Linked DNA regions of Macaca mulatta. The protein of the gene in region 1 purifies or fractionates together with the protein of each later gene. This does not show direct contact. Links are inferred from orthologs where the notes say so. Each region holds a gene or a part of one and is shown in the gene's direction. Other genes may lie near its edges.

Region 1 (4,537 bases):
CTCCATCCCCTCACCCTGTGCCCCACCTTTTTCAGATGGAAAAAACTTCCTTCTCCAGTGCCTCTTGCTGTTTTTCATCTCTGGGCCTTTGCCAATGTTCCCTAGATTGTGCCTAAAACTTTTCCCATATTCCCCACCCAGCACTCCACATCTTTAGCTCTTCAGGTCTCAACTCAGAAGTCACTTCTTCCAGGAAGCCTTCCTTGATTGTCTTTGCTAGTTTAAGGGCTGAAGTCAGGTGTTCCCAATAGCCTGCGAGAGTTTCCCATCACAGCTTATCTCTCAACTGTCTTTCCTGACAAAGGGAGAGGACATTCCTCAGAGAATGTTGTCACGGGGAGAACCTCAAAATTGGCATTCAACCTGAGAGGCCACATGGATTCTTGGCTTGGCTCAGGAAAGGATTCAAGAGTAAGTGGGGAGTTCCTGGAACTGAGGGCTCCTCCCCTTTTTAGACCATATAGGGTAAACCTCCCCACATTGCCATGGCATTTATAAATTGCCTTGGCACTGGTGGGTGCTTCCTTTAACATGCTAATGCATTATAATTAGCATAAAATGAGCAGTGAGGATGACCAGAGGTCCCTTTCTTTGCCATCTTGGTTTTGGCTGGCTTCTTCACTGCATACTGTTTCATCAGTGGGGTCTTTGTGACCTCTATCTTATTAAACCAGTCTTGACCAATTTCTATCTCATCCTGTGACTGAGAATGCGGACCCTCCTGGGAGTGCAGCCCAGCAAGTCTCAGCTTCATTTTACCCAGCCCCCTGTTCAAGATGGAGTCGCTCTGGTTCAAACGTCTCTAACGCGGGGCCGTGACTACTCTGTTTCCCAAGGTGTATCTAGCATCTCGCACTACGCGAGGCCAAGTTAAGGCTTACACATTTGCAGAAGGAAAGAGGTAGCGAAGCAACCTGGGACGTTCCACTGTTTCTGTTTCCATCTCTCTATCTCTTTCCATCTCTGTTCATCTCATTCCTCTCTGTCCCCATTTCTAAATATCGAAAATTTCTGTCTCTGACCATCTATCAATGTGGCTGATCATCTGTTTCTGACCATTCCTTCCCGTTCCTGACCCCAGGGAGTGCAGGGAGTCCTGGCCCAGCCGGCGTTCCTCCAAGTAGTACCACTCTCTAACCTCAGGACGTCAAGGGCCTAGAGCGACAGCGCCAGATGTTTCCCAGCAAGGGGTTCTGAGGCTGTGAGCCCAGATCTCGAGAGAGGGAAGTGGGGTGACGAGGTCGTGCACTGAGGGTGGACGCGGAGGCCAGAAGTAGCAGGCGGCCGGGGAAAAGAGGTGGAGAAAGGGAAAAAGAGAGAAAAGCGGAGGAGGGCGAGTAGGGGGGTGGGGCAGAGAGGGGCGGGCCCGAATGCGCCCCCCACCCCCAGCCCGGCCCAGCCAGCTCCCTCCCAGCCCAGCCGGCTACATCTGGCGGCTGCCCTCCCTTGTTTCCGCTGCATCCAGACTTCCTCAGGCGGTGGCTGGAGGCTGCGCATCTGGGGCTTTAAACATACAAAGGGATTGCCAGGACCTGCGGCGGCGGCGGCGGCGGCAGCGGGGGCGCGGGGGCCGGACCATGAGCCGCTGAGCCGGGCAAAACCCAGGCCACCGAGCCAGCGGACCCTCGGAGCGCAGCCCTGAGCCGCAGAGCAGGCTCCAACCAGGCGGCGACGCGGCCACACGCACGGAGCCAGCGACCCCCGGGCGACGCACGGGGCCCGGGAGCGCAACGATGGAGGCGCTAATGGCCCGGGGCGCGCTCACGGGTCCCCTGAGGGCGCTCTGCCTCCTGGGCTGCCTGCTGAGCCATGCCGCCGCCGCGCCGTCGCCCATCATCAAGTTCCCCGGCGATGTTGCCCCCAAAACGGACAAAGAGTTGGCAGTGGTGAGTTGCTGCGCTGGCCTCAAGGAACCAAGTTTAGACAAACTTCGGAGGCAAAACATGGGGGTGTCTCTCCCCCTGCCCTCGGCGGTGGGCACACAGTGTGGGGGAGGGGCTTCGGTAAACAGCTTGGGGGGTCTTTGGTAAGCTATTGGAGTGATGTCTTGCAAACGGTGGGGGATCTTTTGTAAGCAGAGAAGACCTTTGATAAACAATTTGGCAACCTTCAGGATACAGCAGTGGGGCGAAAAACAAGCCAGAGAGCGGGAGAGGGGTGACCTGGCAAACTACTGGAAAGGGACTCTTATGTAAATGGCGGGGACCTCCTCTAGTATCTGGGACATTTGGCAAGGGGGGGCGGTCTTTGTAAACAATTTTTGGACACATCTGGGCAGTTGCTAAGGGCTCTCGCCAAGCGTCTTGGTAGGCCTTTGGCAGACAGCTAAAGGGGTCGTTTTTCCTAATGTAGGACTTTGGGAACGGGGCTCTGGCACACAATTTGGGTAAATTTATGCGCGCATAAGGATGGGAGGGAGCTTAGCCAACGCGGGGCTTGGCAAACTTCTAGGAACCTTCAGCACAGATCCGGAGAGGGGCCTTTAAATAAACAGCTCAAGGGGGCCATTTGGGAAGTGATTGGGGCAGGAGGGAAGCAGAGAGCGCATCTTTTTTCACCTGGCTTAATGGACAAATTGGTCAAGGGCTGGGCCTCGGAAAGTTTCCTCGAACTTCTCCAAAGGGTCGGAGGAAAGAAGGAGAGAGCTTGCCCGGCAGGAGGGAAGAGGAGTGGGGCAGGCGCTGGAGGGCCTGGCGCGTGGGGCGGGGGCGGACTGCGCTCCGCTAGGGTCGGAGAGCGGCCAGCGAGTCCTCCTTCCTGGCTGGGTTCCCAAACTGCGGTTCAGATGTTGTCTTGTGAGCGTGCGCGCGCCTGGCTGGAGGGACACTGAGCCTGGCCGCAGTGTTGCGTAAGTAGGGCCTGAGGAGGGAGGCCAGCCAGGGACCCTTCAAGATGTCCTTTCCACTCCGGGGGATATCTGCTCCCTTGTTGCCTCAGCCACCCTGCCCTCCAGCCTCCCCCTCAACCTGTCCGGGAGAAGACGCCCATGACCTCTGGTCACCCTAGGAACTCCTTCAGGAGATGACACCTACCCTCTCCCAACTCTCACCCTTTCCAGGCAGCTAAGTCTCAGCCCCCTCTGGATAGATGGGTTGGGAAACTGTACATTTTTAGAGGGCTACTTTTTTCAAGGGTCTGGAGCTGGCTAGCATAATGATGTGGCTGTTGGGTGGGGCTGAGAGTGGAGCTGTGGGACAATGACAAAGCTGCTTGGGTTCCTTACACTTTTTCCAGCCAATGGGTCACAGGATGAACCCCTAAATTGGGGCTCAGCCTGGGGGCCACATGGGTTCTTGGCGTGGAACAGGAAGGAATTCAAGAGCCAGCCAACAGAGTAAAGTGAAAACAAATTTATTAAGAAGCTAAAGGAATAAAAGGGTGATTATTCCATAGGCAGACCAGGGAATGGGCTGCTTGAGTGAGTATACACACGGTTATTTCTTGATTATATGCTAAACAAGGGGTGGATTGTTTAGGAGTTTTCCGGAAAAGGGATGGGGAGTTCCTGAAACTGAGGGTTCCTGTCCCTCTTAGACCATATAGGGTAACTTCTCCATGTTGCTATGGCATTTATGAACTGTCATGGCGCTGGTGGGAGTGTCTAATGTATTTAACATCCTAATACATTATAATTAGCATATAATGAGCAGTGAGCACGACCAGAGGTCACTTGCATTGCTGTCTTGGTTTGGGTGGGCTTTCTCCAGCTTCTTTACTGCATCCTGTTTTATCATAGGGGTCTTTGTGACCTGACCTGTATGTTGTGAAATCAGTCCTGCCAACCTCCTGTCTCATTCTGTGGCTAAGAATGCCTGCCCTCCTGGGAATGCAGCCCAGCAGGTCTCAGCCTCATCTTACCCAGCCTCTACTCAAGATGGAGGTGCCTGGTTTGAACACCACTGACAAACGGAAGTCTGTGTTGTCCAGAGGCAATGCAGTGGGGGGCTTAAGAAGATAGCTCTGGACTTAGACTGCTTGGCTTCAAATCAAAGGGTGCGTGAACTAACTAGCTGGCCTAGTGATGATCTTGGGCAAGTGACTTCTCAGTTTCTTCATCTGCAAACTGGGAAATTCCATATCTCAGGGTTAAAAGAGAGGTAATCTTAGGTGCTTACCTAGCACATGGTAAGTACTCAATAAGCACTAGTCATTATTCCTATTATATTATTATTATGTCCTTGATTTCCCCTTTCCTAACTACTTCCAAGAAGGCTAGGACCATTGTCAGAAGATCTCCTGGCTCTTTTCACCGTTCCAACAGGGCACTTATCACATACTTCATTTTGGTTTTATTTGTGATCTATCAGCCTCCCTGCTAGGATTGAACTTTAGAGACAGAGCTGTCTATCTTGTTCACCAATTTATCCTCAGCAGTAGCACTGGGCTTGGTACGTGGTAGGTGCTAAAAAGTATTTGTTGACTAAATAAATGAGTCTGTTGCTCCCTGAACCTCTTTGCAGGGACCTGCTCAGTTTTGGCCTCAGTTTGGGCAAGGCCAGTTGTATGGCTCCTGAAGGACAGCACTGCTTTATTTTTG
Region 2 (3,802 bases), on another chromosome or scaffold:
CCATGGTGTGCCCTCGTGCCAGGGCAATCTGGGCTGATGATTTTTTGTTGGAGGGAGAAGATGCATAAAGAGGCTGCCAGGGGACACAGGACCTCTCCTTGTGGGTTGGACTCCAGACTCCAGGCATTGTGTAGCTTAGGAGGCCGCTGGTCTTGAAGTCCTGGATTTGTCAGACCTGGAGCCCTCAGAGGAGGTCTCTCCCAGAGGGGGGTCTCTGCCCGGTTGACTGGGTAGCCATGGTGCCCGCCCAGGGTCTGATGGAGAGGCAGTGCCTGGTGCATTTGTGAGGTGACCCTGCGCCTTCCTCTCCCTCTGCAGCCAGCTCCGCCTCCAGGGGAAGGTGCGGATGACTTGGAGGGGGAGTTCACTGAGGAAACCATCAGGAACCTTGACGAGAACTACTACGACCCCTACTATGACCCCACCAACTCCCCGTCGGAGATTGGGCCAGGAATGCCGGCGAACCAGGATACCATCTATGAAGGGGTGAGAGGGTGCAGGCCCCCATTCCAGGTGGGGCTGGGGAGCTGGCGGGGCATCATGGGGGCTCCTGCCCAGGAGCCTCCTCAGGGGTGGGGCTCTACGGGCAGCTCAAGTGTTGCATGCTGTTCCCAAAACTTTATTTTTAAAGAGACCTCAGTGCCTCGAATTTGCTCTGAATAACGTGTGCATCACGGCATGCTCTCCTCCGGGCCTGTTTCTTCATTAGTAGTCTCATGGGCTTCCATGGGCCTGGCCTCTGTCACGCTCCTGCCATCCTCCTGGGCCTGGGGAGACGCCTGACTGCGATAGTGCCCTCGCCTTGTGAAATCGGGCAGATTTTGTGTAATCTGGACTTTCTTTTTCACTTTTCTCTCCGATTCTCTCTCCATCTGCCTTTTATCACCCCCAGATTGGAGGACCTCGGGGCGAGAAAGGCCAAAAGGGAGAACCAGCAATCATCGAGCCGGTGAGGACATTTTCTCATTCTCTCCCTGAAGCCGTGGTGTCTGCTGCTTGGGAGCACAGTGGGGTGTGTAGGGCGTGACCAGGTCCGTGGGCCCCTGGACCTGCGCGGACTGGGTCACTTCGAGGAATCACCTGGTCTCGTGGAGTCCACGCACCACTCGTCACCAGGACTTGGGAAGAATCCCCTCAGGTCGGGGATGTTCTGGACCATGATGGAGGGGGCGGGATAGGTGCTGATCCCAGCCCGTCCTGCACCTGAGCTCTGAGCATCTCAGTGCTTGTCAGTTTCACCCGGGATGAAAAGCAGCTCAGCGCTTTCGAGGCAGAGGTGGAGTCCCCTTTGAGGGGTGGAGGAGAGAATGTAAATGGGCCATTCCTTGTAAAAGATGCGCGCGGCAGTGGTAGGGAATAGTTAACACATGGCTGTACTTTCCGCGTCTGTTATGCAACCGTTTGGAGTAAGTTTACTGAAGCCGTTGAAACATGGAATACTGTTTATGAAACTTTGTCAAGGGAATGAAATAAAACAGCACTGTGCTGAAATAATGAAATAAAACAGCACTGTGCCGAAATTCCAGCTGAGTAAAACCCAACTATGTTAGGTAATCAGATCATGGGTGAGTTTAAAAAGTTACTGTTGATAATGCCCTCAAGTGTGGGACTGTAGCGGAGGACGTTCTAGATGCCCCTCCTGGGTTGGCGTGTTTGGTGGGGGCCCTGCCCCACACTGGGGTGTCCTTGTCCCTCAGGGGGTCATGGCCTGGCTGGGAGGCCTGCATTTCTCCCTGGGGTCTCAGAGGCGCTAAGGTCAAGGTCTTGACATCCCGCCCACCCTGCCGGCGGGCAAGATGCCCCGTGAACAGCTGGGCAGGGAGTCTGGCAGCTGCATGTGGTAGGCACGACCTGAGAGCAGGGAGGAGCCAGCACCAAGGCCCACCCTGCCATGTTGTCCAAGTGCCCACAGGAGGATGTGCGCGTCCTGCATCACGGCCAGTCGCGAGGCTGGGGGCGGCTGTTTGTTCTGCTGCCAGGGCTCCGTTCCTGAGGGCTGAGCTCAGGATACACCTTGGGGCTCCCAGAAGCCCCGTGACCTTGCGGTTCCCGGAATGTGGAGTCATGGTGACCCACCACCCTCCTGTAGAGCTGGGGACATTCTGTTGGAACCTTGACAGATGGCACTTAGCAGGCATTTATCCCCTTGGAATCTGTTTGAAGCCCGTGGCCAGGGCAGACGGGATGTGTCCCATCTCTGGGGTGGAATTCCCAGGGTCCAGGGCTTCACCCCTTCCTGGCCTATGGAAGCGTCTGGATGGCTCTGGTGGGGCTCCATGCCCCTGCTGCAGGCCCAGCCCGGGGGTAGGACCTGCCAGTGCCCACAGACACATCCTTTTCTCAGACCGGAGCCCCTTTCCAGTGCTCTCTGGGGGTCCAGGAAAGACAGAGCTTGTCTGAGGCAGAAGGGTCATTGGGTGCAGGGCAAGGGGGTGCAGAGGTGTGAAGGGAAACTCTGAGGCCAGGGTCCCCCTGCTCAGCAATGTGGACAACCTCAGAGCCAGGCCTCAGCTCAGGGAGCAGAGTGGCTACGGGGGAGAGTGACAGCCGTCCACCTGGGCGGACTCACCCAGAAGCGGGGCTGCAGGCCTGTTCTGCTCTGCCCAAGGGTGTTGGCCAGAAAGTGAACAACAGCAGAGGCTGCGTCCAAGGTCCCAGCCCCGAGCCACCCTTGTTACTGGGAGGTGGGACATCCTGCCGCATTTCCCCAGACGGTCTTGGCCCGCAGGTGGACTTGAGGTTGGCCTTGGGCTTCTTTTGTGCTGTCCCCATTGCTTCAGTGAAAGGCGGTCCTTGCTCGGGGAGGAAGATGGGAGGAAGATGGGAGCTCAGGAGTGGGCAGGTGCGGCTGGCTCTGCGAGATCCCGGTTTCCCCTCCCCGCTCTGGGAGAGCCGGACTGAAACCTTTGAGCGAGCTTTGCGTTGGCTCACATTTCCGAGTAAGCTGGTTCTGTGAGTGTAGACGTGGTGTCGGGGCTCCTGAAAGCGGGTGGGCGTGTGGGGTGGGCACAGGTGTTCCACTGCCAGGCCCCTGGGAAGCCAGCAGTGGGCAAGGGTGGGTCAAGGAGAGGGCGGAGAGTCGAGGTGGCCCCACAGGAACCTCACGGCTCCGGAAAGTCCAGTTCACCTTTGTTGGGAAAAGCAGCAGCCGTCTGGATCACTTAAAAAGGATTCCCTGCCCCGGGCCCCAGCCTGCTCCCAGTGTCCCGGGGCCTTTGGCCAGGCCCCCTGCAGAGATCACATAAACAGTTGGAATTTCTCAACCTGGAGCATCGCCAGATGTCCTTGGGTCCAAGCTGCACATAAACAGATTGCCAGGTCCTGGGGCCCTGCAGGCGTCCCGGCCTGTGGAAGGGGGTGTCTGTTGTCTCCCATTCCCGCAACCTGCCCCACCTGACTTCTCTCTTGGGAGATGCATCTGTTCCTGGTCTTTCCCACTCAGTCCCGCTCCCTCTCATTGTCAGCCAAACCGGAGGTTCCCTAAAAAGGACAGGAATCCACAGAACGGAGAAGTTCATCTTTATCCCTGGGCTTCCAACCGGGAGGCCCCCAGGGGCTGATTTTACCTGGGCCACGTCGGTTAGGGGCATCCAAATCACCATCTCCACTTGACGCTGTTTTTTGTTTTTTAAAAAGTGCTGTTTAACAGATGGGTGGACCTCCTTTGAGATTGTCTTGAGTTCTGCCAGGTCTGAGGTCTTTTATTTCTTTTGTTAAAATTGTATGCATTCAGCCAGGTGCGGTGGCTCACACCTGTAATCCCAGCACTTTGGGAGGCCGAGGTGGGTGGATCACCTGAGGT

Evidence for each region.
Region 2: the proteins of MMP2 (region 1) and COL5A1 purify together in Homo sapiens (co-immunoprecipitation; 3 studies listed by BioGRID and IntAct, counting the BioPlex papers as one, with this or other methods). This does not show direct contact. The link is inferred for Macaca mulatta from reciprocal best matches to the Homo sapiens genes MMP2 and COL5A1.

The regions. Positions count from the first base shown.
Region 1 is NC_133425.1:50,967,210-50,971,746, forward strand, and holds the start of MMP2 (72 kDa type IV collagenase), read left to right. Parts: upstream 1-1,454; 5' UTR 1,455-1,733; coding exon 1,734-1,886; intron 1,887-4,537.
Region 2 is NC_133420.1:7,773,071-7,776,872, reverse strand, and holds part of COL5A1 (collagen alpha-1(V) chain), read left to right. Parts: intron 1-318; coding exon 319-486; intron 487-892; coding exon 893-949; intron 950-3,802. UniProt on the Homo sapiens protein: Type V collagen is a member of group I collagen (fibrillar forming collagen). It is a minor connective tissue component of nearly ubiquitous distribution. Type V collagen binds to DNA, heparan sulfate, thrombospondin, heparin, and insulin.